Linked DNA regions of Elephas maximus indicus. The protein of the gene in region 4 purifies or fractionates together with the protein of the main gene of each other region. This does not show direct contact. Links are inferred from orthologs where the notes say so. Each region holds a gene or a part of one and is shown on either strand. Other genes may lie near its edges. The genes, in order: FBXO45, CAD, SPRYD3 and LGALS3BP.

Region 1 (7,403 bases), on a different chromosome or scaffold from region 4:
GAATCTACCAGCCACTCCTTGGAAACCCTATTGTGCAGTTCTACTCTGCCCTGTAGGGTTGCTATGAGCTGGAATCAACTCAACGGCAACTGTTTTTTTTTTTTTTAACAGTAAGGAACGCGCCCTGGTGGTGCAGCAGTTGAGCACTCAGCTACTAACCAAAAAGGTCAGCAGTACATATGGACCAGCCACTCTGTGGGAGAAAGATGTGGCAGTCTGCTTCCATAGAGATCACAGCCTTGCAAACCCTAGTGGACAGTTCTACTCTGTCTGATAGGGTCAGTTTAGTTTGGATTAACAGTAAGGAAGGAGTCTCTAGGTGCTACAAACGGTTAAGTGCTTGACTGCTAACCAAAAGTTTCCACGCAGAGGCACCCTGGCAGAAAGGCCTGGCAATCTGTCCCTAAAAGGTCACAGCCTTGAAAACCCTATGGAGCACAGCTCTACTCTGTAATACGTGAAGTCGTTATGAGTCAAAACTGAATCAACGGCAACTGATTTTAACAGTAAGGAGCAATTTCTATACATTTTTTCCTCCTCTACTAGACGAAAGGCTCAACCTATTTGACTATGTGACTCATTTTGATTTAATCTTTGTATCCTCAAGATAGTCAAGCAAAATGCCCTGCAACAGCTGAATGAACATGTCATGAGTATAAGTCTACAATGCCTACAGGAGCCCTGGTGGTGCAACAGTTAAGTGCTCAGCTGCTAACTCAAAGGCTGGCTGTTCAAACCCACCCACTGGATCCTCGGGAGAAAGATCTCGTGATCTGCTCCCGTAAAAATTAGAGCCTAGAAAACCCTATGGGGGCAGTTCTACTCTGTCACATGGGATCACTATGAGTCAAAATCAACACAATGGCACCTAACAACAACAATGTGGCAAGTATTAGAAACTTCAGAAACCAAAAAACAACAAACTTCAGAAACCTAAACTATGCTGGAAGGATATACATAAAATTGGTAACACAGGTTGCCTCTAAGGAGGGGAACTGGGCAGCTGAGGGACAAGGGTGAAAGGAAGGCATTTTCCTGTATATCATTTTACATCCTGAATCATGTGAACATATTATCTATGATAAATTTTTTTCAAATTTCTTAAAACCAGTAGATGCAACGGAAAAACAGAAAGTAAATAAAATCCATGAAACCCACGTTTATCAGGCAAAGTAGGGCGAAACTGTAGTCTTCTGCACGCCGCCATAAAAATTACAACTAGCAAACACTGAGCATGTACCATGCACAAGTATCGTCCTAAGAAATTAACATGTTATTTCGTTTAATATAAATACAGCTCGAGTTAACATTTAACAGCAATGTTCGTTATTGTATTAAACTAAAATCTGTTTTTATTACGAAAAAGTGAATTTTACATCTATTTCTCATGAAGGTTTTTTTTACTTCTTACTCTGACCCCCACTGGCACTGAAAAGCAACTTCTCTTTTCAGTTATTAATGTATTCTGTATGTTTACCATATTCAAAGTCACAGGCTTTATCCCCTTTCAGAAATGCTCTTGGTGAATACTATACTGGAGAGCTGTTATGGGTCCAACTGAACCCAAGCCTGGAGTCCTTTGTTTATATGGCCTGGAGAATTTTCTCACCCCCTACCACAACCTGTTACTTGACATTTTTATTTTGTATATGAAGAGAGGCAGGAACATGCACAAGAATCTAAGAGGGGGAAAAAAAAAAGAAGCAAAACTGGAAACACCACGTTTGATGACAAATGGAACAGAAGAGACATACCATCAAGGTGGAGACTATGAAAAAGTTGGCAAGGAGGCAGCCAATAATACTGGGAAAAGGCAACTATTATGACAGTAAGTGGCACTGATGGGACGATGTTCTATAAATGCCTATATCTTGAAAGTTAGCAGGTCGCCTAGGAACTCATTTGTAAGCCTGAAACATAGTGGAGAGAATTAACGAAAACGGGCGGAAATAAAGAAAAAATTGTTATAAATAATAGTGAGCTGAAAGCAATGATCTGAGAGACTAAGCCGATATTAAGAGAGAAAATAAGGCAACTGAAATGATTTAATAGCGTCTATCTGTTTATCTGTCGGGCAGGAAGAAAAACGGGATGACAGTATTAAAAGGTACAACAATGGGAGTGGTCGGTCTTTATTACTGGGACTGTCGAAAGTAACATGAGTAATGGAAGCCAGGGATGGGAAACCATCTGGTCCTTAGACTGGATCACGGAAGTGGGGAGGGTTAAGGAGCAGAACTTAATACTGTGCACAGCAATCCAAAGAGAAGAGATCTTTGTGGAGGGGAGTGGAGGAGAGAGGTGAGGTAAGGTCTTGACTGGAGCCAAGGAAAGGCGGGATGGGGAGGCGAGCGTCTGAGTCAGACGCTCAGATGCGAAGCACTGAGAGCGGCGCGGAGGAGCGGGACGGAGGGCAGCGGCGTGGCCCGGGGCTCCCTCACCTTGGCCTTGTAGCTGGGCAGGTTGCAGAGGATGTCCGTGCGCAGAGCCTCTTCGGCCAGGCTGCGGGCGCACAGGCTCCGCCACACCTCGCTGTTTTCATCGCCGTGCAGGCAGCGGTACCAGTGCTTGCACACCAGAGCGCAGCTCCGCAGTTCGGACAGCTCCAGGTAGGAAAACACCAACTCCAACACCCGGCTGGGCAGCCGGCCCCCGGCCCCCGCAGACCCGGATCCCGAGCCCGCGCCGGCGCCCGCGCCGCTACAGCCAGCGCCGCCCGAGGCTCCTCCAGCTCCCGGGGTCGGCGCCGCCATCGCCTCACCAGCCGGCCCGAAGGCCGCTGCCGCCGCCGCCGCGTTCCCCCGTCTCTGCTCTGGAGGCCAAGCCTCGCCTTGAGACCGGAGCAGCTTGCTCACCGCCCCTTTCACAGCCTACCGCCCAGCACCTCCACCACTCCCGCCCCTGCCCGGGGGCGCCCGCCGCGCGCCCCGCCTCACTGAGGGCAGACGCGCCGGCTGCACGGGCGTCCCCGCCCCTCCCCCGCTCCCGAGGCTCAGGGCGGGCGCCGGAACCGCCCGACTCGCGTGGCCTCCCCGCGGCGCGCCCGCAGCTCCGCCATGCCGGTTGAGGGCACGAAGCAAGGGCGCACGCCCAGCTCTCTCGCGGTTCCTTTTGGCCCCGGATGTGACTGTTTGGCTGAGGCGCCTCGTGCCCTACGCTTGTTCGGATTGGGCGCCCGCGGGTGAGGTCATCACGAGGCGCCGAGGAGGCAAGCGGGAAGAGCAGGTATGAGGCTGGCGGCGGTGGGTTCCTGGGTGCACTCCAGTGCCTTTTCCTCTTTTTGTCCTAGCGGCCTCGCATCGGCTGTCGTTGGCCCCTTTTCCTGTGAGGTTTCCCTGTGTCAGGTTCCTGCTTCGAACCCCAACCTAACGCTAGGAACTTTTCTCTCCTTTTCTTGCTGAGCAAGTCCTGGGTCTTCCAATTTCGTCTTCAGTTGGAGCCTCATTCTTTGCCTTCGGTAGCTGAGGCCGTCTTTTCCTGGTCAGGCTCTCTTGTCTCTCTAAGTGTCTGTACTTATCAGAATTTGTATCCCATCGTATATTTGGAGAATAAGGTGGCCACGTCTCTAAACCGCCCAACCCCCAACGTTTTGAAAACCATAAAGTGCTGTTTAAGCGCTAGTTATGACATTCTTTTGGCCAAAATGCAGTCATTCCCAGATCCACCGCTTCGTAGGCATATTAAGGCAATGTTTTTGTTGAATTAAGTATTCCAAAAGGGAGAGAGATGTGGAGGCTATAATTATAGATGGCTTCATGGAAGGGAAGGAATTTCAGCATTATTTGGTCATACTACATCTTCCTAGGTGGCCCAAGAAGTTTTTCTCATAGTCTTTAAAAAACAGTAGAGAGGTAATAACCATCATTTGTGCCACAGTGTGAGCCAAACACTACACTAGGTCCTTTTCGGGGATTTTTATATAATTCTTGAAACAGCTGTATGAGGTTAAGTAATTATTATAATAATAGGGTTCACAGATTGCCTTAATAGTCAACTCCAGTATCTTGCAACTGTTACGTAGTAAGAATTTTTCCTGAAACTCCTGTTGTGTGTAATCCATGTTCTCTAGCAAAAACAAGAACAACTGCCTTTCTGTTCTGTGATATATAGTGTTTAACTATCGCTGGCTCCTTCCTCCCAGGTGTCTTTTTCTTTCTACAAGCTCAGTAACCCAGATTCTATCCATTCTTACCAATACCAATGTCACAGCCCCTCCATCATTTTGGTTGCAATCCAGCTTCTCCACAAGACCAATTTTGAAAACCCAAACCTGGGGAAAACTTGAACTATACTGATTATAGTAATGCTGACTCTCAGATTATGTTAATTGAATGTATTCAATGAATTCAATGAATTATAACCTCAGGAGGTTTCAGTTATTATTCATTCACCATGGGACACTTAAGGAAGGAGGACCTGGTTTTGTCTGGAAAGACAGCAATTTTTTTTTTTTTTTTTAATCTTCAAGGATAAGTAGAGTTGGTCCATCTGAGATGGGGGCAAAGGACCAGGCAGAATGAACATCTTTAAAGACAGAGACCCTTTAAAAGGACAAGTGGGTACATGGAGATATGACTGGAGCAAAGTAGTTAGAGATCATTCAGTTATTAAAGATGTTGGCCTTTATTCTGTCTGTCACAGTACAGGTGTTGTAGAGCTTTTGAAGGACCTGATGAGGTAATCTAGTTCAGTCATTAAGGTGACTTTCGGTGGCAGATTACTCCCCAAGTGGCAAACGTAGAATTTCAGAGTAGGAAAAGATTGCCTTTATCCCTACCCCCTTGTTTCTTTACATATCTTTTACTCAGTCATCACCCTTCCCCAATGCTACCTCTACCCCGTGTTCACTACCCTCAGTCTGCCCTCTGGCTGGAAAGAACTGCTAGCTATAGCAGCACCCCACCCTTTCTAAAAATGCTCCCAAATTACCCCACCTTTTCACCACCCACTCTGTGGTCTCATTAGGTGTTGGAAGGGAGGGATCTATGATCTAATTAAAGAAGCTCAATAGAATTAATTCCTGTGCTTGACCTTCCTTTAAGGTATCTACATATGAGAAGGGAAACCCTGGTGCCTTATTGGTTAAGAGCTACAGCTGCTAACCAAAAGGTCAGCAGTTCAGATCCACCAGACACTCCTTGGAAGTTATGGGGCAGTTATACTCAGTCCTTTAGGTTTGCTATGAGTTGGAATCAACTCAATGGCAGTGGGTTATGGTTATGGGTTACATATGAGAAGAGATGCTTGTTGGCTTGATATGTGGGGATGGTAACACTTACCTATTTCTGGTAGACTTTCCAGTCCCAGTAACAGAAAAACAGGAAAAATAGCTTGACACCTTGTTTTTGAAAGGTTGTTTTGATTTAACCCAGATTGAATTACATTTTTTCCACTCCGCACAGCAGTCTTTAACACTTTTTTGATGGTGGTCTTTGGGTGTGTTGCAAATAATAATCTTGTAGATTAAGTAAATACATGATTTTGGAGGCTCTGGTTTAATCATCGATCAGTACACTGCACGGTGAATGTCAGTTAACTGAACAGCCTCACAGGGTGGGTAGATTTCTGGGGCTTTCCCAGCTCTTTTTCTTAGCATCTCCGATAATAGGTCTCTATTTTTTCTGACCAGCTAGGTGATCAGTAAATATTACCCATGTGATTTAGAGATTAGAGGTTTAATTTGTTTTTTATGCTGGTACATAAAGTTTAAGGTACAACTGTCCTTGGATTTTGTGAGATTAACAGACCGAGAGTTACTACAGGTTCCATTATGGAAAAATTTATAGGAACTGCATTGTTGCTTATAATAGTTCCTTTAAGTACAAAATCGATTTACCTTTAAAATTGAGTTAAAACTTTCCAGAAAAGATTTATATGAGGAAGAAAATCTGCTAAAACTGTTTGCCAGTCAACATTTACTTAGATTTACTTGGATCCCTGTGGGTTGATGTATGATGGAGAAATAGAAGTACTAGAAACCCTAACTCATTCTTGGCCTCAGAAAAGCTAAAATCCCAACTTAGGATCCAAAACCTGTGTGCACGTAAAACTCAGCAAATCTTAAAGCTGTAGAGTACATGCCTTTAGACTTTAAACTTGATTCATCGTAGCAAAATTAGAACTGCAACTTAAGGAAAGAAGTGATCAACACCCTAAGGGTTAAACAAAATTATTTGTGATGTAAATGGCTTTTTTAATAGTTACATTCAGATTTCATATTTCAAGATAAAGTTATTGTCTTTATCATAGGGTAAATCAGTGGTTACCACAGATGATAGTCCCTAAGCCTCTATAGTAATATCTGTACCTGTTATTTAAGCATCCTTTTTTCTTGGTGTATCTGGAGCAGTGGGCAAGAGCCTGTGCTAGGGCAGAAAATTATCTACGCTTTCAGTACTTGTCAGCAAAAATCAAACCACTAGGGTTCCCTGTCTTTACCTCTCTCTGAGTCATTTCCTCTTCAAGCCTTTCCTTTAAGTCTTACTTACATCAGCCTCTACTGAATTAGTTTCCTCTGTGTGCTAATTGAATATTTCTGCTGAAATAAAAGTATATTTTTGTCTTTCCATTTTGTTGTCATTATGAGAATGGCTTTATCTGATTTTGTGACCATGTTTCTGTTACCTTGATTACTAACACCTGAGTGAGTTTTTGGAGTATAATGATAGAAATTTTTTTGGTATGACTGCAAATGGGAGGCAACGGGCAACTTTGTCTTGGGAATGGAAACTTCAGGCAGATTGCCAAATCGTTTTAAACGAATTTTTAAAACAACGTTAGGAAATTTATCTCTGTACGACTGGACTAAAGTCAAATATCATGTCTGAAAATAGTGAAGTAACTATGGCAGCTCTTCACTAGCAACTCCTCCCTTGGCTTGTGAAATGAAAAATCAAATTCGTCCAGATAGGCTGGTTTGCTTCCTTTCATCTGACCATTAGAAGTGGATAAATTGCCCTGATTTCTTTTTTGCCTTGCCTAACAGGCAGTTAAGGCAGAGTCGTACTATGTGGCAATTCTTAGTTTATGGATCTGGGATGCCTAGGATCAGGAATATAAATTTTGCACGTAAGTACTACCGTTGTGTAAGTGCAGGTAAATTATAATGGGATTGAAAATATATGAGTACATTTAAAAGCAGTTATGAATGATCAGTAGCTTTTGGTCAATTCCGTGTATTCCAACTCATAGCAACACTATAGGACAGAGTAGAACTGCCCCATAGAGTTTCTGAGGCTGTGGTCTTCACAGAATGAAAGCAGATTGCCAAATCTTCCTCCCTCGGAACAGCTGGTGTGTTCAAATCGCCATCCTTTTGGTTAGCAGCTGAGCACTTAACCACTGCACCACCAGGGCTGCCTCATCAAAGAATACTAACAAAGCAGTTGTCAAGTGAAGCTGTT
Region 2 (7,150 bases), on a different chromosome or scaffold from region 4:
TCTTATTGTGGTCATGTTTTTAAAAAGAAGACTCCTTGTCTTTCAGAGATAGATGAACTATTGGTGGATGAAATGATACAAAGTCTGAAATTTGCTTCAAAATAATCAGGGAGTGGTAATGGTGATGATGAAATAAGATTAACCAAGACTTGATTATTATACTATTCTCTCCTTTTATGTTTGAAATCTTCCACCTAAGTGATAGCTTCTCTGGCCCCAGAAAGCAATCTAACCCTTCTAAAAAAAAAATTTTAGATCGGGCATATTCTATCACAAGCTTGGACTGGAGTCTAGGAAACCTTATCTTGATCCTTTCCATCCAGGCATACTGTGCTCCGCCGAGACACACGTGTGCTTGCCATCATACCTTGCAGGCCAGGTATGCCATGTTCCTGCAGCCACTCATGCAGAGTGCAGGTGGCACTCCAGTGGCTGGGCGTGGGGCAGCACTCTCCTACCACCAGTCCTGCCACGTGGATCTCTGAGGATTCAAACCACTGTAGATGGAAGGAGGAGACTGTGAGGAGCAGCTCAAGGCCAAATATCTCCCTCTGTCACTTTTACCCATCTTCTCCCATTACGTGGCCATGGGCCCTCTATTTCAGTTACACTGTATCATCTTCACCACCACCCAGCACTTCACAGCTCCCTTTACCAACAATACCATCCCCCACATTAAACATTAACACATGGAGTGTGTCTTTGTCACAGAACCGTGAACTCAAGAGCAAGGTGCCTGACACATAGCATCAGTCAACAAACATTTTGAGTCTTCACTAGGTGCCAGGCATTGTAACAGATGCTGATAGAGCAGTGAGCAAGAAAAGATAGGGTCCAGTCTTCATGATGTTTATTTCCTTCGTACGAGCAGAAAATTAACAAGTCGACATGTAAACTAACAATAATTACACAGGTTATACAAACAAGGTGCTAAGATAGGTAGGTGCTCGATACATTACTAAATAAAAGCGAAGGCTCAAGTTACAATACTGTAAGTGATTATACCTCTCCACTCCAAAAGGACTAATTAAAAAAAGAAGAGAATACGAATTTGTTAACTGATCAACAAGCATTTAGTAACTAAATGGAGAAACCAGTAGTTTATTTGGGAAGTAGTGGCATATTTAAATTCCATTCTGCTAAATGGTAAAAGGTTTAAGGGAAGATGGATGTCGAGACTGTTCTTTAGGAATCTGAAGGATAGAGTTTGGCAGATGAGTAAAAACAGCCCTCCCTGACAAGCGAAGTCCACCTGGCATGGGCAAGTACATTTACAACACATGTGCTACAAGGGCATTGGCGTTGGGTTGGTGGTTGCGGAAGGTCTCAATCTCTCTGGTCTAGCCAGGGCCACAATTTTAGAGGTCTGTAAACTCAATTCTGTCAGTGTGCCTAGAGCTGATAGAGCTGAAGGCTGATGTATGTTAACCAAATTCACAAAATATTGAATTAAAAGTTAAGAGTGCAATGTATTTATAGGTTTGTGATAACAAATGGGCCTTTCCAGGAATAACAGTGTTCGTTATCCAGTCTTTCCAGCGTCAGGGTAACCTGGAAGGCAAATCTAGAATCTAATGGTCGGTTGCTCAGTAAGCCTGGAATCATGGACAAAATGGGTTTTAAGGAATACTGCTATGTTGACTTCCACTATTATCCCAATTGCTAGTTTTTTTACTACTTTAACTCAGAGGGCATCTTGGTTTCCAATTCCAAAGGAGAAAGAATAGTGGCAACCTCACTGAACTTCAAGAGGAAACTGAACTTTCTTACCTAGAGGTAAGAACACTACAGAAAAGAAGTAGAAAATGAGGTAAGGAAAGTATGTTTAGAAGATTGTAACCAACTTTCACTGGTTCTGTAGGTGAACTGGGACCCAATGTCTCTGGAAAAAGATGTGATCTTGGTTTCCAGCCCCCTTCCACTAATCTATGCAATCCTGAAGCATTGCTCCCATCATGTGACTCTTGTTAAACAAGCTCCGAAGGGTCCTTATCAGATCAAGATTAGACGTTGGTTTGACTTCATTCCTATTGTATCTAACCCATCTTTGCGTTACTTCTGCATTATTCTTCTACACTTTTTGCCACTTTCCTTGATTCATGTCTTCACTGTTGTTTGTTGTGAGACCTATGTCTCCACTACATACACAATATTCTGGACTTTGCCTATAGCCTTGGTGCCCCTAACAAAGAGGGGATAGCTCTCTCCTCCTAGGCTCCCACCATGCTGAGCTTCTCAAAGTATCTACCAACCCAAGTTTAACTACAGTCACCTCAGTACTTATCACTTCAGTGTTTATATTTGTTCTCTCCAGGTTGCCTGGCAGAGTGTCAATGTCTTCACTTCACTAATAATTATTGATTTGAAAAAGAATGTAGAGAAAGCATTGGGCATGGCTACCTTGCTGAGACCGAACTCATCCACTTCATCTGGGGGGATGCCATAGTTGCCGATCAGAGGATATGTCAGGACTAAGATCTGTGCTTTGTAGGAAGGATCAGTGAGGGCCTCGGGGTAGCCCACCATGCCGGTCTGAAACACTGCAAAAAAGGGACAGGGAGAGGGCTCCGCAGGGTACCCTCCAGAACTCCGCCCCGGGCGAAGAGATGCCCCCGTCAGGGTACGCTGCCATGGGCGTGACGGGTGGTAAGGGCAGGGCTGGGGACCTGGCGGCAGAACGCGGGGAGGGTGTGCAGGCGGGAAAATGGCGGGGTCTGGGCAGGGAAGGCAGTGCGGAGATCGGAGTGGGATGAGGTCGGCAGCCTGCCCAAGCTTGCTTACCCACTTCCCCGGCAGTCGAAACAGAGGCCCCAAAGGGCTGGCCCCGCAGGACCGACCCGTCCTCCAACACCAGGGCCGCCATGGGAACGGCGCTTAGAGGCAGGGCCGAGCACGGACAAGCGGTGGAGCGCCGCAAGCCCCAGCCGGCGCTGGAACCACGTGAAGACGACGCGCCGGGAATCGGTCCACGTGGCTAACCGCGCCGGTGCCGGAGCACAGGCGGGCGTGGTCCGCGCAGCAGCCTAGCGCGCCGGCGGCCGGGCGTCTGCGGCGGCGCAGGGAGCCGGCGGCGTGAGGGGCGGGGCCGGGCACGCACGGGGCGGGGCCGGAGCGGCGCCGCGGTGGCTCTGCGCCGCGAGACCGCGGTCTCCTCCTCCCCTGCAAAGGCTAGGGAAACCCGAAAACACTGACTACCCCAAAGCGGCCTCTTACATCCCAACCAAGAAACACACTGAGGCAGGGCAACTTTTCCTAAAAACAAACAAACAAAAAACCACATGACAATGACAAGGAAAAAAGTGTTTATTATAGTCAACAACACAAACGGGAACTGGTACTCTACCCCTGGAGAAGGTGTCCACAACACTTGAGAATAGGGCAATTTTCCATCTTCCTTCCAACCTCGTCCTCGGCCTGGATGACGCCTTAACTAGGTCACTAGGGGGACCCATGTGGTTCATGAAGACTTGGCTTTTCGGCGTTGGGTCCCCCACAGCAGAATGCAGATGGATACCGTGGTGGATCCCAGAATCCCGAAGAACACAATTAGTGAGAACGAGCCCTGTAAGTAACAGTCCAACAACTCTCATTGAGCATTACACTGAAGGCTACAGCCTAACACCTAGTTCCCTGTTAGTACACTTGTTCCCTCATTCAGGACAATTCTAACTTTGCTCCCCTGGGTGACGTGCATTAGCTTCCGGTCTTGTGGCTCTTCTTTGAGACAGGTTTCTGCTCTATGCTTTTTTCTCTAAGGCCTCATTCCTCACCTGGCGCATACACTTGTAGCCATGGAAACCATCAGCGCAAAGACACTGCAAGAGACCTGGACCATTAGGAGCACAAGATCCATTCTCAGGACACATTTCTGGCAGCCAGAGAAAAACAGAGAACATCACTGGATCTCATCAGATAAATTTCTTAAATATCTGCTTCAATTCAGGTTCTCTCAATCCTTTGTAGATCAGTGGTAAACATCACTATAGATAATCAGAACATAATGACAATATATTCTAAAACTTTTTTTCCCAATTAGAGCCTCAGAACTCTGAACAAAAGGCACCTAAGCAATTTTAGTCTTTCTGATCTAAAATGAGTAAGAGAGGAAAGGCAGTTGCCAGAAGGGCAGAGATGAGACAGCATACCTGGGCTTCCAGTGCTGTTGCAAAGGTTCCTTTGCCCTTGGCAGGTTTGCTTGTCTGTGTGAGTGGTGATAGTATTCCAGGCACTAATACCTCCAGGACAGCTGACATTTTGTGGCAGTATCCTGAAGACAACACAGGTTGTCATAATATATTCAACCCAAAGTCGCTGAGCTCACAGCACTACTCCTCTTATTCTCTCCCCTAATCCCCACACCCTGTACTTACAGAGTCTGGAGCTGAGTAAAGCCATGGAAGGTGTTAACCAAGTCATCCTTGAGGGGGTTTGCTTGCAGGTCTCTGCAAAGCACACACTGTTAGCATTCTGCTCAGGACAGCACCCATCTCCATTCACACATCTTCCTAGACTGGTAATCCAGAGTAAACTTAGACATTAATACTCATCCATCTTTTTAGGAGTCCATCCCCAAAGACTGTCTCATCAACCCTTTGCCATAGTCATTTTCTGGGAGGGAGGGGACCTAACCACTTACATGATGATAGCAGTATGTGCCTGAGGGAAGTTTGGACCAGGGTCCTTCAGAGAACAGTTTTGGAGATCCAGCCTGAGGAAACAAAGTAATCAATGTAACTGTATGTCCTTCTTCTTCATTCATGACAAGGTTTGTATTTGATACCCAACTCCCTTTTAGGTTATCAGTATAAATTGAAAACAGCCTGTGTGAGAGCCACATACTCGGTGCTGTGGTAGATGTTGTAATCCTGCATTGTCCAATACAATCATCACTACCTACATGTAGCTATGTAAATTTAAATTAATTAAAATTAAATTAAAAATTCAGTCTCTCACTGGCACTGGCTACACCTCATGTGGTCAGTGGCTACTGTATTGGGCAGACAGATATGGAACATTTCCATCTTTGCAGAAAGTTCTAATGGTCAATGCTGTTCTAATAAGTACTATGTCCTGTCAGTTCACATCTGTACACATATTGGATTCACATCTGTACACATATTAGAAGAAATTTATTCCTTGTCTAGATTAGTGGATCTCATATTATGGCATTACGAGTCTCAGATCCAAAAAGGGCTTTCGAATAAAAAAAAAAAAAAAGATGCAAGTCACATAAATGAAAATTTCCTCAAAGTACATTATCTATCACAGGCTGGATATAAGCTCCTGGACGTTACGGACCCATGCTGCAATTATTTTGTCTTCAATATCTATCACTTTTCGTTCCTTTATTCTACAAATATGTACTGTATGCCTACTAATTGCAAAACATTGGGAAAGTATATATATTTATACACACACATATAAAGTCTAACTCAGTATCTTAGCCTTCAAGTAGCTTACAATTTAGTAGGGGAACAAGAAAATCACCAAAAACAATATAAACGTTAAATTACAATATGAAAGAAATAACAGTACAGCGTGTAAATAAATTTGAGTGGTACAGACACTAAGTATTAGAGGAAGTCAAAGAAACTATTACTCTGGGATTTAGTAGTGGGAAACATTCACAAAAAATGCTAAAACTGAAGGATGGCTATGTCCTAATTTGGTGAAAGAAGGTAATTCCAGGTAAAGAGAGAGGCTCTCCAAAACAACAAAGAAACAAAAGTAGAATGCCTTTGTAAGTGAATCTGGCTGAAGCCAGACCCTCACTGGGGGTTTGACTGGACAAATAATTGGAAATAATGTAGGAAAGGTGGATTGTGACCAGTCTGTGGTAGGTATCAAATGTCTAATGCATGGTTTGAACTTTATCCTGAGAAAATAGTTATAAATATGGTCTTAAAACCAAGAGAATGGTAATGGAAAAATTTGGTTTTGGGGAAGTTCGAAGTGAAGGTGAAGCATTCCAGATGAAATGTTTAATAATAAGTTGGAAGTACCCATACGTACCTGGAGCTCTGAGAGGTGTTAAGGACACTGAGAGAACTAGTTTTGGGAGACACCTACGAGGTGGTTATAGCTGAAGCCATAAGAATAGGTGGATTCTCCAGAGTGTACACGGAGAAGGGCGGAGGGTCAAGGAGTGAATCTGAGGGACTAACTAGTATAAGGGACAGTGAGGGGAATTTGCCTCAAACACGAATTAATCACAAGGGGAAGAAAACTGTATTAGCATAATGTCTTGGAGAATAACTGGAGACACTCAGTGAATAATACAAAGACTTGATAATAAATAAAACAAAACCGGAAGCATAACAGCTTATCAAAAAATTTTAAAAAACAGGTAAAAATTATGATTTTTATGCAGCTTTAACCAGAAAAAACTATAGGATTGTTTCCTAGCCAAAAATGATACACAGATTTAAAAGTATGAGAATGAATCATGGTTTAAAAGGTGCCGCCAATATAGGCACGAATAGTTATGCCAAGTCTATCAAACAAGCCTTGTGGACTCTGTTCTGAAAACTCCCCCGCCCTCCCCTATCCAAGGATGTGTTCTCCCTCACCCCAAGATGGCGCCCTTCTGATTGAAGCAGCAGCGGGCATACAACATTAGCTTCGGGGTCTGCTTACAAAACAGAGCCACTTCGGACAAATTTTGCACACTCCCTGGGCACTGGATGCATATCTGTAGAAGAGAGAAACCTATTAGGACCCCAGAAAGAAAAGTCAAGAACAGAACGGCGATCCAGAGTTAACTGCCAATATACCTCTCCTTTTCTCTAACAAAGGGCGGGGAAGTGGCTCTTGTCCTACCTTTTATCCGGTTGGATAGGGGATATCTTTCTTTCCCTAGAGGCAAAGCAGCGCATCAAACACTTCCATTACCAGCCCTCTCCAAGAAAATACTTTCATCTTTGAAAAACAGTATTCGACCATATTTATTATGCCCTCTCCAGTGACTTCTCAATCTGACAGCTCCGGTTTGACCGGGTGTATAAGAACAAGAAGGTACACAATGAACTCATCGAACATTCCGGAAAGTAAAGTCCTGCCCACGCACGAAATACTGCATTCGTGCGCGCACAGCTTACAGAAGAGCCACAAGACTGCTCTGTTAAAAGACAAGCTTCAAGCTCTTCAAAAA
Region 3 (7,588 bases), on a different chromosome or scaffold from region 4:
GTCGAGAAGCCACATAGCAGCCAACTTCACCTGAGTTTCCATGGTAACTGCAGGAGGAATAGGGAGGAGTTTCATTAGCAGCCTAGCCCAGGACCTAGGGGGAGGGCCTCAGCATCCCCAAGCCCCACCCTGTGAGAAGCAGCACAGAGGAGAATCCAGAAGGCCTCGGTTCAGCAGACACCATAACAAGATGCTTCAGAGGTCACCCCACCCCTCCCGCTGCCTCCAGCCAGAGTCCAGCCCACACCAAATCAATGCAAGCCTGGTTTCTCCTTCATTTCCAGAGGGAAAAGTACGCAGAGCTTCCCTTAGGTACCTATTAGGGGTCTCACAACCCTGTCTAACCTCAATCCCTCACGCTGCAGCTTCGGCCCTTTTCCTCTGGCTCTGTCCTCAGTGGAGCTGGAGAACGGCTGGTCTCTATCCTCTGTACCAAAGCCCTTCATAGATTGGAAGACAGTTATTCACTCCCCACTCCTCAGCTTTCTTGTCTCCAGGCTAAGTAACACTACTTTCTTCCCCTCTCAGTGGCAATTTTGTGGGAGAACTAAGGCTCAGAAAGCATCAGGGGAGAGGTTTGAGCCAGAAAGAGAGATGAAACAAACACAAACGAAAGGGCTGGGAAACATGGCAGGCAGTGGGTAGAATGCATCACAGCACTGTCCATCCCAAAACAGGAAACCCACTGCCTTCACAATGGCCACTCTTCACCAAATCTAACCCAAGACATAGGCAAAAGGAGACTGAAACACCTCACAGACCCATGGAGTCCACTCAACAAGGCACTTGGGGGAACTCCTACCTCAGACCCCAACAGCCTCCTAATTCTGACAGGATAGCTTCCACTGCACAATGACAGACCTTTGCCAAACCAGGACAGAGGTGGACCCAGGTAGAGGAAAGTTCAGGGTAAAGCAGAACACGCTGCTCCACTCAGAAAGGCCTCTGGAGTCAACAGCATTCTCTCTCCCAGTGTAGTGTAGACAGTCCCCTCCCTCTGAAAGAGCCTTAGCATCTCTCAGATGTGGCACAGAAAGAAAAACGTGGACACATTCCCCTAAACTCACCTCAAAGTGTCTCCATCTACAAGGATGTGCTTGAACCTCTCCTGATACCGGAAAGCCCGGACCTCCCGAATCTCCCGGATCCGGCGGCGCCAATTCAGAAACCGGTAGTGCAGGTTGAGGTCATCCATCTTGTTCATGAGAACAAACCTGCCAGAGGGGTAAGCGGATTGAGGAGGAAGCAGGGCTCTGAGCTAAGCACCTCAGCCTGCTCAACCCAGAATGTGGGGAGAGCACTGGGCTTGGAGCCAGTTCCACAGACTGAGCACCTCAACAATCCCCACCCTCATCCTTTCATTCAACAAACATTTACTAAGTTCTTACTCTATGCACTGCTCTAGGTACTGGCAGCACAGTGCTTAAGTGCTTGGCTGCAGGGGTTCGAACTCACCAGCCACACCTCGGGAGAATGATGTGGCAGTCTGCTTCTGTAAAGACTACAGCCTTGGAAACCCTGTGGGGCAGCTCTACTCTGTCCTACAGGGTCACTATGAATCAGAATCGACTCAACAGCAATCCGTGTAGGTACTGAGGCTACAGCTCCGAACAAGATGGATGGAATCCTGTACTCTCAGGGCTTCCGTTCTAGGGGGTAGGGAGTGAGGAGGGAAGTATGACAGACAGTAAACAGACATGACAATTTTAAACAGTGGAGAAAAAACCAAGGTGATGTGATCGAGAATAACAGGGAGCTACTTTGGATAGCGTAGAGACAGAAAGCCTCTTTGAGAGGTGACACTGGAGTTGAGATAAAAAAGAACCAGGCATGTAACAAGCCTGAGCAAGAGTATTCCAGGCAGAGAGACAGCCAGAGCACTGATGTTGGGGTGGGAGGGCATGTTAGAAAAACAGAAGTCCAGAGTCGCTGGTGCACAGGGAATATGGGACAAGAGGTCTAAGAGGAAGACTGGGGGCATATCATTGCCCTACAGATCCATAAGGAGTTTGGATTTTACTCCAAGTGTGATGGGAAAACCTTCGGAGGGTTTTGAGTGATGACATAATATAATCTTGTTCATGTTTTTAAAAAGCTCATTCATGCCAGTGCTTGGAGAGCTGACCATAAGGGGAACAAGAGCAGAAGTGGGTGAGCAATTAGGAGGTCCTTGCGGCAGCTCAGAGGAGGGATGGCATCCACTAAGATGTCGGCAATGAAGACAGAGAGAAGTGGTATTTAAATGGGGTATTAAACAACCAGCAGTGCCAACACGTGAGTGAATGAATAAATCTTCTCCGGGAGTCAAAAGTTAGAGAAAGATGAGGTAATTTTTTTCTTCCCATCCCAAAACTCCTGGAGCGAGGGTCCCATCAAGGTTTGACAGTGCCATCCACACAGAAGGTGCTTGGTAAGCATCGGGTGAGCTGAACTGAATCCCAGTGTGGACGTTACCATCCTTCTGTTGCAGCTACAACCCACACCCACCACGTAGCCCTGAAGGGCGGGCACCAGTGAGGCAGCCCCAGGACTCCCCTCCAGGGCGCTCGGCCAGGGCTTGACCTCTGGTAGACGCTGGCGCCCCAGACCTAGAAGCATATGGTTGCCCAGAACCCCACAGTCTTGGCACCAGCGAGTGACGGCCGCACTGGGCCCTGCCTCCACCCCGAAACAGCTTGGTCATTCACACAAGACTCGGGGGCCACGGGGCTCCGATTCGTCAATGTGACTACGCCCAGTCTCCCCAGGCCCTGCATGGGGCCGGGAGTGCCGGAGGGAGGAAGCCCAGAAACCAGATCGCAACACCCCGCCCCTGCCCCCGGAGCCCCCGCCCAGGACCCCCTCCTCCTGCTTGGGGCTCCTGGGAGACCCGAGGCCGCCGGGACCCCGCCCCCCCGATCCCCGCCTACCGGGGCCTCCGCGTCCTCCTCATCCATAGGCCTCTCAGCTCCGCACACTAGCTCTTCGGCCGCCGCCACCACACACATCCGGGTTCCCGCCCTTCCTGAGCTTCCGAGACCCGCCCCCTCCCACCCGCGCCAATCGTAAGCGGCCTATGACGACAAGCATCTGAAGAAACCAATCGGAGCACCCAGGCAGGTCTGGGGCGCGGCCCGGTGAACCCGGGTACTTCGCCGGGTAGGGTCTAGTAAAGCCGGGTGTAGAGAGGGTAGTAGGTGGCGACGTGGCAGTGTGGATGCTGCGCTGGGTGCCCTGGGGCCAAGGGGGCGGCCAAGGGGCGGCTCCTGCACTGGGCGGGGCAGGTGGAGAAGGTCGCTACGCACGTAAAAATATTGCGAATGTTTCTTAAGTGCTCATTCCGTGCCAGGCGTGATGCTAAAAGCCATAGGAGTGTCCTTTTAATCCACTCAGAAACCTTATGAAATAAACTTTATTATTATCTCGTTTTTAAGATGAGGAGCCTGAGGCTCAGAGGAATTAAGTTTCCACAGCCTGTGCCTTTAGATATTACCATATGTTTTATATTCTTCCTAGCTCTCTGAAGTCCATTTCATGTCACAGGTCAACAGTTCACTCCGGGAAGGACATTGTATTCCAAGAGGAGGGAACATCTCAAGCAAAAGCACAGTGGCATGAAGTACCGCGTTCAGGAACAGGGGTTTAGGTGAGGCTAAAGGAAAGCTAGACTGAGTCAGGCTGCAGGAGGAAGGATGCTAGCATTTATTGAGCACCTACTAAAGTGTATTTATTGCCATTCTGGGGAGTTTGGACTCCTGGAATGAGGAGGTCCCTGATTTTCCTGATCACTGAATCTCTTTTCTGGGTAGAAAGAATATCCCTTCCTCTGTAGTCCCATACCATGTCATATGCACTTCATTTATAGCACTTATTACAGTCTTTTATTACTAAAGTCACCTGTGTATGTAGACCTGTTTCTCTGCTGGGCTATGAACTCCTTCAGACTCCGGGGCCTGTTCTATACCTAGTACTGTAAAAACGTTGAATGAAAGGGAAGCCATCATCTCCTGTACATGAACTGCTTGGCCTAATGGAAGTGAGTGTAGAGGAAATAGGGAAACCTGGATTAGAGCCCCAATTCTGTGTGACAGAAAGTTCACGGTCTTGGTGTTCTCATCTATAAAGAATTATTGAAGTATGTGTTCTTTTGACTCCTTTCCAGCCCTTCGATTACATAGTTCTGAATAGTTACCCTTTTCAACTCATCTCCAGCTTCTTCTGGTTCCATTCCTTTATTGTTTCTCTCTTCCACCTCTTCTTCCTGAGCTATGAAAATACACTGAGCCTCAACCTGGCTCCTCCCAATCGCAGCCGGAGAGGAACTGACCAGGGTGGCTCCCAGAGTTATGTCCATTCTACAACGGATCTTCTGAGTCCTTCCAGAAGCTAGTGAGCTGGCTACCAGCTGAGACAGAGAGAGACACCAAAGTGTTATTGATAGCTGGTGATTCCACTTGAGATTTCCTCATCCTCAAGTTCCAGGTGTATTAGGGCAGGCCTTCTGGTGAACCCTTGATCCATTGGCATTCTCAGGACCGTAACTGTAATTTGTACTTAGCATCTACATGTATTTGATTAAACAGCTTTGTTGAAATATAATTGACATAAAATAGACTGTACATATTTAAGGTATAAAATTTAATGTTATGTACGCACCCATGAAAACGTCTCCACAATCAAGATAGTGAATATACCATCGCTCCCAAAAGTTTCCTCATTTTCCTCGTACCCTCCCACCCTCAGGAAACCACTAATTTGCTTTCTCCCTCTAGTGCAGTTTGTATTTTCTATGATCTTATATAAATGGACTCAAGTAGTATGTACTTAGTGTTTTTTGGTGGGGGGAGTCTTCTGGCTTCTGTTACTTGCATAATTATTTTGAAATTCATCCATGTTGTTGTTTGTTTCAATAGTTCATTGAAACAATAGTATGCCACTGTTTGAATATACCACAGTTCATCTATTCACCTGTCAATGGACAGTTGGCTGTTTCCAATTTTTGGCTATGAATATTAATGTACAAGTCTTTGCATAGACATATATTTCATTTTCTCTTGGGTACGTACCTAGGAGTGAAATGGCTGGGTCACATGGTAAATATACGCCTACTTTGGTTACGCCTTATGCCTGTAAGAGTTAAGATCGAGTATCAATTTGGCTGGGCCATGATTTTCATTTAGCAATTATGTAATAATGCAGTTTGGCAGTTGTGTAATGATGTACCTTGGCAGTTATGTAATGATGCATCTGGGAGTTATGTAATGATGTAGTTATCCTCCATTCTGTGATATAATGTAATCACCTCTAGGATGTGCTCTGATGTGATCAGCCAATCAGTTGTAGGGGGAGTTTCCGCAGGGGTGTGGCCTGCATCCAATATATATGGACATTCCGGCAAGGCTCGCCAGCTTTTCCTTGCTTTGGATCCTGTAACCAGTTTATTATCATCTGATCTCTGGTTCTTGGGACTTGAGCCAGTGGCCTGCTGTAATGCCTACTGATCTTGAGATTTACAGCCTGTGAGCCAGCAGCCTGCCACCTGAACTGCTGATCTTGGGTTTGTCAGCCCCTGCAGCTATGTGAGTCAGAAGCCTCCAGCCTGATACCTGATCCACAGACTTGGGACTTGCCAGCTTCTGCAACTATGTCAGCCATTTTCTTGAGAAAAATCTCTTTTTCTCTCTCTCTATGTTGTTGTTATGTGCCGTTGAGTCCGTTCCGACTCCTAGCAACACTATAGGACAGAGTAGAATTGCCCCATAGGGTTTCCAAGGAGCAGCTAGTGGATTCAAACTGCCAACATTTTGGTTGGCAACCATGCTCTTAACCACTGTGCCACCAGGATGCCAATATATATATGTGTATATGTATATATGCATATATACATATACACATACATATATGCTTCACTGGTTTTGATTCCCTAGAGAATCCAGCCTAAGACACTGTTCTCTGAAGTGGTGTATCTGAAGTGGTATATCATTTTGCATTCCCATCAGCAGTGTATGAAAGTTGCAGTTGTTTTACATCCTAACCAACACTTGGTATGGTCACTCTTTTTAATTTTAGCCATTTTTAATAGTCATGTAGTGGTGTTTCATTGAGGTTTTAATTTGTCCTTCCCTGGTGACTAATGATGTTGAGCATCTTTTCACATGCTCGTTTGCCATCCATCTATCTTCTTTGGTGAAGTGTCTGTCTTAGTCATCTAGTGCTGCTGTAACAGAAATACCACAAGTGAATGGCTTTAACAAAGACAAGTTTATGCTCTCACAGTCCAGTAGGCTAGAAGTCCGAATTCAGGGCACAGGCTCCAGAGGAAGGCTTTTTCTCCCTTTCTGTCTGCTCTGGAGTTAGGTCCTTGTCATCAGTCTTCCCTTGGTCTGGGAGCATCTCAGCACAGGAACCTCAGGTCCAAAGGATGCGCTGTGCTCCCGGTGCTGTTTTCTTGGTGGTATGAAGTCACAAACTCTGCTTGCTTCTTTCTCCTTATTATCTCTTGAGAGATAAAAGGTGGTGCAGGCCACACCCCAGGGAAACTCTCTTTACATTGGATCAGGGATGTGACCTGGGTAAAGGTGGTGTTACAATCCCACCCTAATCCTCTTTAACATAAAATTACAGTCACAAAATGGAGGACAACCACAGAGTACTGGGAATCATGACCTAACCAAGTTGATACACACATTTTTGGGGGGACATAATCCAAGACAGTGTCTGTCCAAATTGTTTGCCCATTTAGAATTGGGTTGTTTCTTAATATTGAATTTTGAGACTTCTTTATGTTTTCTAGATTCAAGTCCTTTATCAGATATGTGATTTACAAATGTTTTCTTCCAGTCTGTGGCTTGTCTTTGCATTTTCTTAAGTGTCTTTCAAAGAAAGTTCTTAATCGTGAAGATGTTTGATTTGTTGATTTTTGATATTGTATCATTATTTGGTAATGTATTTAAGAAATCTTTGCCTCACCTGTGATCTCAAAGATTTTCTGCTGTGTTCTCTTCTAGAAGTTTTATGGTTTTACATTTAGGTCTGTGATTCCTTTTTTTTCTTTTTAGCTTTTATTTTTAAATAATTTTTGACTTGCAATAATAGTACATGAGTTCTGTGATCATTAAGCTTATGTGTCTGGGCCATGATTCTCAGTGGTTTGGCAGTTATGATGTAGTTTGGCAGTCATATGATGATGTGATCACTTCCATGATGAGATTTCATATAATCTGATTACCTCCATGATGGGATCTGCTATAAGTAGCCAATCAGTTGAAATGGAATTTCCTTGGGGATGTGGCCTGCATTGAATATATAATAGACTTTCTGGCAAGACTTGTGGGCTTTTGCTTGCTCTGGATCCTACAGCTGGCTCTTGCTTGCTCATCTGACCTCCAGTTCTTAGGACTTGAACTAGCAGCTTACCTGCTGTCTTGCCTGCTGATCTTGGGATTCTTGGATCTTCATAGCCTGTGATCAAGAGCCCTGCTGTTTGACCAGCCGATCTTGGGTTTGCCAGCCCCTGCAGCTATGTGAATCAGGAGAATCCTCTATCCTGACCCATAGACTTGGGACATTCTAGCCTCTACAATTGCATGAGCCATTTCCTTGGTATAAA
Region 4 (7,390 bases):
TGCGGCCTTGGCTCTGGAGGACCCGGAAGCAGAGGCCCTACCTTGCCCGAATGCAGCATTGCTCAGAACCTGGGTGGCATTCTCGAAGCCCAGGGCGCGGCAGACCACGTGGGCATCGTCCAGGTCCCAGCCGTCATCACACACGGTCCCCCACTGGCCTCTGTAGAAGACCTCCACGCGGCCCTCATTAGCCGAGTCCCCGTTCACCAGCCTCATGGTGCCGTCCTCCAGGCCTGCAGGCTCGTGGGGGCAGAGGGGAGCAAAGATCAGACAGGATGATGGGAGGGCACCTGGCCCCACCCTAGGCCCATCTGCTGCCCACTGCTCTCGGGCCGTGTGCTTTCATGGTGGCAGCTCTGTCCACCTAGGGCTGAACTGCTGACCAGTGAGCTGGGGGTCTGGTTTTGCCACTTTGAAGTCCCCTGCCCGTCCTCGGGGGAGGTCACCCACTGGGGAGGAGCAGGAGATACTCACAGACCCCCCAACACAGAGGTAAGCTAGCCTTGTGTTTGGGGTCCCCCCTTTGTGCCCAGCACTTGGAGAAGAGGTGGCCAGGTGGCAGGAAGAGGGGCAGGGAAGGGTGCCCAGGCTGATCCTCTCTGTGGTGTCTGTAGTTGGGCCTGGAGACAGTCACACAGGGAGACTGGGAGCCCCTTCCTCTTCCTGGAGGCCCCACACCAGCATGATGGCCCACAAGAAGGGTGCCGCAGGGGTGCTGGGAGAGTATGGGGAGCCCAGGCCTCCTGCCCAGAACCCACAAGCCCCCATCACCAGGGACAACTGGGGTTTTGAGCAGGAGGGGAGACCCAGGCCACCAGCAGAATCTTTGCTGGCATTTTCTGAAGGGCGGGAGTGTAGCCTCAGATGGAGGAAGAGCTGCTTAACTGATGTTTTCTCCCGTCTTCCCAGGGGTTCAGCTCACCGTGGGTCCCTGCGACGAGCAGCCATATCCAGAGGAGCTCAGGGAGTGCCATGGCAGTACCTGGAGCCTCGATCCTATGGCAGAGGAAGACACGGTGGTGGGGGGGGGCGGTCCTCAGAGCAGGGCCATGCCCCCTGCAGCCCTGACCTGCTGAGGCCCAGGTGCCAGGCTAGGAAGGAGCCAAGAGGCCTGCGGGTCCTGCTCCTCCAGGGCCCTCTGCAGGCAGTGAGCATGAGAGACGCAGGGAAGGTGGGGACCCAGCAGAGCCCTCACCCCAACTGAGGGCTGGTCTTCAGGCTGAGTAAGACTCAGCCAGGTGAAGAGGGGGGGCTGGAGGGTCCAGGCAGCGGGTATCTCCCAATGCTGGGCCTGTGTGTGGCTGCCATGTGGTGTTGGATGAGGAGGGCTGAGGAGGGGGTGCGGCTCTGCAGGGCCCAGATGGTGAGGGCCCGGTGAGTCTCATTAGAAACCAGGGCTGTGTACAAAGGTGACTGACCCTCGCAGGCATGCCCACAGTGACTGAGGGGACAAAGGTTCCCTGGCTGCAGCGTGCAGAGCAGGGGGCCTGTCGGGAGGCACCCCAGAAGTCCAGGCTTGAAACACTGGCAGCGAGGAGTGTGGGCTGGTGGTGTTGGGTGGGGGTGATGGAGAGGAGGGGTCGCAGTGTGGGGGGGGAGGGGGCCGAATTAGGAGCCAGGACAGGGGCACAGGGCAGGGGCGGGGATCGCAAGGCACGCACAGGCTTAATTGTGCTTACTGACTAATCTGTAGTGAACAGCTTCACCTGGTTTATACCATGCCAAAGATTTGGTGAAACTCATGTGAAATTGTTCACTATAGATTAGTCTGTGAGCACAATTAAGCCCGTGCACGCCTCGCTTACTGCAAACCAGCGCCTACTGCGCTTGCTGGCTAACCCACCCCTGGTTTGGGGAGTATGGTGAGCAGGCTCGGCATGGACATGGTGCTGCTGACCCCCTGAGGTCAGCTGGCCTACTGTCTCATGAAGCCAAGGCTTGGGGATGTGGAACCACCAGGCCACTCAGCCAGCGGGGGCAAGGTTGGGGAGGACCAGGCTTTTGGTCTCCACGTTCTTCTCCACTCTTGATCGTTCCATCATTGGCAGCAGCCTGTCGCCCCCGGCTACATCCTAACCTGCTTCCCCACCCCACATCCTGTGCATGTGAACGGGCCGGACAGGTCACCGTCCCTCTGGCCCAGCAAGAATCATGGATGCCCCCTAGCACTGCTCTCTGCTGTCCAGCAAGCCCAGGACCAGGCCAAGGACCAGGCCACTGTGGCACTGCTGAGCACGGAGACAAGATCAGGGCCTGGTGACCTTGGAGGCAACATGTGGCATGGATGCCTGCATTTATAAGACCCCCAGGGGGCACAGGAAGCTTTGAGGGGTGACCTGTGCCAGCCCTGCTCAAAGCACAAGCTCACAGAATCCTGACCGTGACCAAGAAACGTCTTATAGCTAACAAGCTTCTAAGCAAAGCCACTGAAACAGGCTAATGAGTAAGGCAAACCTCGATTCACTGCAGTCTTCTCAGAAGACGGCTGAAGGGCCAGGTGACTGGGCACACCAGAACAACTGGTCACCCGCCCTGCTCCTAGGATAGCCTGGACAGGAGCTCAGGGCCATGAGGAAATGGCCAATCAAGCCCTAGGTGAATGCGTGGTGGGAAGTCACCTGCCTGCAAACCAGGCAAAGGTGCGCTTCCTGCGGGCGGGTGGGTCAGGGTAGCACGCAGACTGTGAGAGGCTACCCTGCCACTGCCCCCTTGGCTGGTGCCTCGTGCAGTGAACAGTCTGCCCAACTGTATGGGGTGGCCCTGCGGATCTTCTGGGAGCAGCACCCTGCCCCTAGCCCCGGGTCTGTGTACACAGTATGCTTGGCCCCCACTGTGTAGAGAGAAGGGTGCCCACCTGGGAGCAAGGAGAGACAGGTGCTTACCTGCCCAGGTAACTCCTGTGGCTGTCCTGGAGCCTTGTGCCTTCCCGCTGCAGGAGCCTGCTGTGGGCCTGTCCTCGGGCTCAAAAACCCTCCTGTGTGGAGCGTGGTCAGGAAATGCTTCAGGAAACTGTTCAGTTTCAATTTCTAGGAATCACATGACCTGTGTTTCTCCAGGGGTTGGCTGCCACGCAGAGTCCCTGGGGCCCCTTCCTTTTCTCAGCTCCAGTGTGGGTGCTGGGAATGGCAGCAGTCCAAGGATGGATTCTGGCTGAATTGGTAACCTGCAGCAACTCCCAGAGCCAGACAGGGATGACTATTTCGGAATTTAGACAACCTTCCAAGCTGGACCAATGTGCCAGGCACTGTGCTGGGGGAGGGAAGGAGGGGGCAGCAGCAGATGTGGTGGGGGGGCTGGGGGAGACTTTAGGGACAGACAGAGCGGGGTCCAGGCAGGCGGAATTTAAAGTCCCAAGGCCGTATCCCAGAACCAGCACCAATATCGGCTCCCCTGGGCTCTCAAAGGTTTTCCAACCTCCTGAGACCCCCAAAAGGAAGTGCTTAAGGAGGGGGAGGGGAGGGGCGGTGTGAGATGATAGCTTCAGGGAGACGGGGAGGGAGAGGGCTGGCTCGGTTCTGATAAGAAGACTGTTGAGGCCTCAAGAAAGCAGGGCCCAAAGGTGGTACCATTGGAGGCTAATCTGGCAGGGAAGCCATTCCCAAGGCGCTGCTGGAGAAAGGCTGGGTGCTGTTGGAGACACTTTTTTTTTTTTTGCTTCTGCTCCGTCTCACCGAACGCGGGAGTGCTGACTATAATAGCTAATATTTGACCGGTAACCAGTTGACAAGGAGTCAACTCCTCCTCATGGCGACCACATGTGCGTCAGAGTAGACCTGTGCTCCATCAGTGGCTGATGTTTTGGGAGCAGATGGCCGGGTGTGGGGGAACTCGAACCCCTAATCTTTCAGTTAACAGCTGAATGCGTTAACTGTTTGCACAACCCAAAACCAAAACCCGTTGCCATCAAGTCGATTCCGACTCACAGGGACCCTATGGGACAGAGTAGAACTGCCCCCATACGGTTTCCAAGGAGCACCTGGTGCATTTGTACTGCCGACCTTTTGGTTAGCAGCCATAGCTCTTAACCACTGCACCATCGGGGTTTCCTTGCAGAACCCAGGGACTCCAGTATCTATTGAGCCAGGCTCCACTGCAAACCTTTGACCGGGATGAGTTCACTTAATCCTTCCAGCCAGTCTGGGAAGCAGCTGCTCTTCTTATCCCTGCAATAGATAAGGAAGTGGAGGCACAGAGAGGTTACATACTCTGCCCCAGGTTACACAGCTGGAAGGTGAAGAAGTGCTGGGATTCAAACACACATTTTTTCTTTATTGAGACATAATTTACGTAACAATAAAATGCATGGAGTTTAAGTGTACATCCATTCAGCTTTGACAAAGCCTACAGTTGACGACCATGATCACCACTGTGATAAAGAACATTTCCATTGTCCTCAAAAGTTCTCTTCTAAAATCCTTTGCGGTCAATCCCCTTCGCCAGCCCCCGCCCCTGGCGACCACTGCTCTGCTTACTGCCACTATGTCGTCCTCGTTGTTGATTCCGACTCATTACGACCCCATGTGACAAAGCAGAACTGCACTCCAGGGTTTCCTAAACTGTAATTTTGATGGGAGAATATTCCCAGGTCTTTTCTCCCGCGGAGCCCCTGGGTGGGTTCCAAACACCGATGTCACAGTTAGCAGCCAAGCGCTTAATCGTTGTGCCACCAGGGCTCCAGAATTTCATATAAATGGAACCATACAGGATGTAATCTTTTGTAGCAGAATGCTTTTGAGATTCCTCCGTGGTGCTGTGAATATCAGTAATGTGTTCATTTTTTTTGCGAAGTAGTAGTCCGTCACGTGGGTAGATCGCAGTTTGTTTAGGCATTTGTTCATTGATGGATATTTGGGTCTTTTCTATTTTTTTACTATCATGAACAAAGTTGTTATGAACAATTGGATGCAAGCCTTTGTGTGAACATGTTTTATATCTTTCCTGTAAATACCTAAGAGTCAGGTTACTGGATCATGTCAAGATAGCCAGATGCTGGGTGTGGCTCAGCTGAAACCCGTCCCTCCTGTCCACTGTACTCCAAGCACTGGGTGCGGCTCAAGCCAGTCAAAGCCAGTTTACTAGCCTACATGACAGAGGAAAAAAATGCAATTTGTCTAATTGTGCCTGGGTGCCATGATAACCTATGCTGTCCATAACGTTTGCATGTACTTCCTTGCAAGAGTCTGTATAAAATGTTCTGCCTGTCTTCGCTCAGCGAGCTTGATTTCAGGATAACCTCCTCGGTCCTTGCTTGCATGCTTGCAATAGACGCTCTTCCTTGCTCCTCACCTCGGCGTGTCTTTATTGAGAAGTCGCACCGAGCAGCACCTGCTTTGGGTAACAATATGGTAAATGTATATTTAACTTTTGAAGAAACGGCCAGACTGTTTTCCAATGGCAGCATCCGCCATTCCCACCAGCAGCGGGAGCGTTCCAGTGACTCCAAACCCTCACCAACACTCAGTACTTCCGGTCCTTTTCATTTTCGCCACTCTAGTGGCTATCTAGAGGAGTCTGTCTGTGGTTTTAATGACTAATGATGTTAAGCGTCTTTTCAAATGCTTATTTGTCGCTCATAGACAGTCATGTGCCACATAACGTCCATTTGGGCAACATCTGACCCCATAAACATCTGTGGTCCCATAGGTTATAACAGAGTTTAGAAATCTGTATTGGAGAACAGGACGTACCGGATTTAGGCATGTTTCACTCACAGTCACAGCAATCCTCAAGAAGAAAAAATTCTCTAAGCTGTTAAAGGATCGGACCCACTGAAAGCTACACCAGGCTAATGAAAACACGAGACGGACCCACATCAGATACGGAGAAATTGCTAGTGACCTGGATTGGGGACCAACCCATGTCATTAGCAGTCAATGCAGGTGGAGTCTATTCTAAGTCATAGTGACTCTGTGTACGACAGAAGGAAACGCTGCCCAGTCCTGTGCCATCCTCACAATCTTTGCTGTTTTTGAGCCCATTGTGGCAGCTACTGTGTGAATCCATCTGTGGAGGGTCTTCCTCTTTTTTGTTGACCACCTACCAAGTATGATATATTTCTCTAGGGATTGGTGCCTTCTGATAACGTTACCGCAATTTCACAAGTTAGAGCCGCCTGTGGCAAATAGCCAATTCTTGAGACGGGTGAGGTGGGTAGCAAGAGGTTTATTAGATATACCGGTATATGGAGACGGGGGGAATGATCTCCTCCTAAAGTCATCTGTCTCACCAGACTACCGATCAGCTCGGGTTTTTAAGGGGAAAGGGGTCATAAGTTTTAGGGACTTGTGGAATATGCACTCTCTTTCTTCTGTTTGGTTTCAGTGATCCTATCTCAAATCTGTTGATCTTTTCCTGCCATTATCCCATCAGCTGGGCGGGGGGGCGGTGGCTGACGCCATCCTTCTTATTTGACAGGCTTAGATCAATATCACTTGCTTTCCACAGTCTTAGAGGAAACATTGGTTAACCATTTGGTGAGCTAACAGCAGGATCTTACTTGGAGGCAGGGATGCGCTAGGGGAGGGAAAGGAGAGAAAGAAGAAAGAAGGAGAAAAAAAATAGGCTCAGGTACTGTTCAAGATCTGGCTGAGCAGCCTGTTTCAATAACATGTCCAAAGTAAGCTGGGTGAAGTCTCGCCATCCTCACTTCTAATGAGCATTCTGGCTGTAGTTCTTCCAAGACAGATTTGTTGGTTCTTCCAGTAGCCCATGGTATAATCAATATTGTTCGCCAACACCACAATTCAAATGCATCAGTTCTTCAGTCTTCCTTATTCATTGTCCAGCTTTCGCGTGTCTATGAGGTGGTAGAAAATATCATGGCTTGGGTCAGGTACACCTCGGTCCCTAAACACAAAAGGGAATCCCTCTCAGCACATTGACCGTCACTGCTAAGGCACGAAGCTTGTTCAAGATGCTTAAAGAAAAACCAAGACCAGACTACGATAGTGGGTTTAGTGCTCCCTCTGGGTGATTCAAGTGCCTCGAAGTTTTTTGCTGCATAATGTGAAAATGGTTGGTAAGCCTGTGGGTGCTGCTGCGAAGGAGGCAGAAGAATTTGTTGAAACCTTGGATAAACTAATTGCCGAGGGAGGTTATCTGCCCCAGCAAATTTTTAATATGGATAAAACCTCCTTATTCTGGAAGCGAATGCCCGAAAGGACCTTCATCCATAACATGGTGTTCGCTGAACGTCCAAATCACATAATGTCCTATTTCGCAGAAAGTATCATGGACATTGTATCTTCTTTGGTGAAGTGTCTATAAATCCTGTACACATTTTTTTTGAATTGGGTTGCGTACCTTATTATTGAGTTGCATAAGTTCTTTACCCATTGCCATTGAGTTGATTCCAACTCATAGCAACTGAGTAGGACAGAGTAGAACTGCC

The links.
Region 1: the proteins of LGALS3BP (region 4) and FBXO45 purify together in Homo sapiens (co-immunoprecipitation; 3 studies listed by BioGRID and IntAct, counting the BioPlex papers as one, with this or other methods). This does not show direct contact. The link is inferred for Elephas maximus indicus from reciprocal best matches to the Homo sapiens genes LGALS3BP and FBXO45.
Region 2: the proteins of LGALS3BP (region 4) and CAD purify together in Homo sapiens (co-immunoprecipitation; 3 studies listed by BioGRID and IntAct, with this or other methods). This does not show direct contact. The link is inferred for Elephas maximus indicus from reciprocal best matches to the Homo sapiens genes LGALS3BP and CAD.
Region 3: the proteins of LGALS3BP (region 4) and SPRYD3 purify together in Homo sapiens (co-immunoprecipitation; 3 studies listed by BioGRID and IntAct, counting the BioPlex papers as one, with this or other methods). This does not show direct contact. The link is inferred for Elephas maximus indicus from reciprocal best matches to the Homo sapiens genes LGALS3BP and SPRYD3.

Annotation. Positions count from the first base shown.
Region 1 is NC_064819.1:18,113,789-18,121,191, reverse strand, and holds the start of FBXO45 (F-box/SPRY domain-containing protein 1), read right to left. Parts: upstream 3,012-7,403; 5' UTR 2,754-3,011; coding exon 2,442-2,753; intron 1-2,441. UniProt on the Homo sapiens protein: Component of E3 ubiquitin ligase complex consisting of FBXO45, MYCBP2 and SKP1. Functions in substrate recognition but also plays an important role in assembly of the complex.
Region 2 is NC_064830.1:45,716,297-45,723,446, reverse strand, and holds the start of CAD (CAD protein), read right to left. Parts: upstream 3,015-7,150; 5' UTR 2,864-3,014; coding exon 2,782-2,863; intron 2,541-2,781; coding exon 2,401-2,540; intron 498-2,400; coding exon 368-497; intron 1-367. Other genes in the region: ATRAID (all-trans retinoic acid-induced differentiation factor), read right to left, coding at 3,458-3,562, 3,771-3,868, 4,146-4,267, 4,371-4,442, 4,637-4,708, 6,570-6,691. UniProt on the Homo sapiens protein: Multifunctional protein that encodes the first 3 enzymatic activities of the de novo pyrimidine pathway: carbamoylphosphate synthetase (CPSase; EC 6.3.5.5), aspartate transcarbamylase (ATCase; EC 2.1.3.2) and dihydroorotase (DHOase; EC 3.5.2.3).
Region 3 is NC_064822.1:108,601,281-108,608,868, forward strand, and holds the start of SPRYD3 (SPRY domain-containing protein 3), read right to left. Parts: upstream 3,014-7,588; 5' UTR 2,933-3,013; coding exon 2,910-2,932; intron 1,215-2,909; coding exon 1,068-1,214; intron 48-1,067; coding exon 1-47.
Region 4 is NC_064837.1:68,869,364-68,876,753, forward strand, and holds the start of LGALS3BP (galectin-3-binding protein), read right to left. Parts: upstream 3,010-7,390; 5' UTR 2,883-3,009; intron 997-2,882; 5' UTR 975-996; coding exon 923-974; intron 234-922; coding exon 42-233; intron 1-41.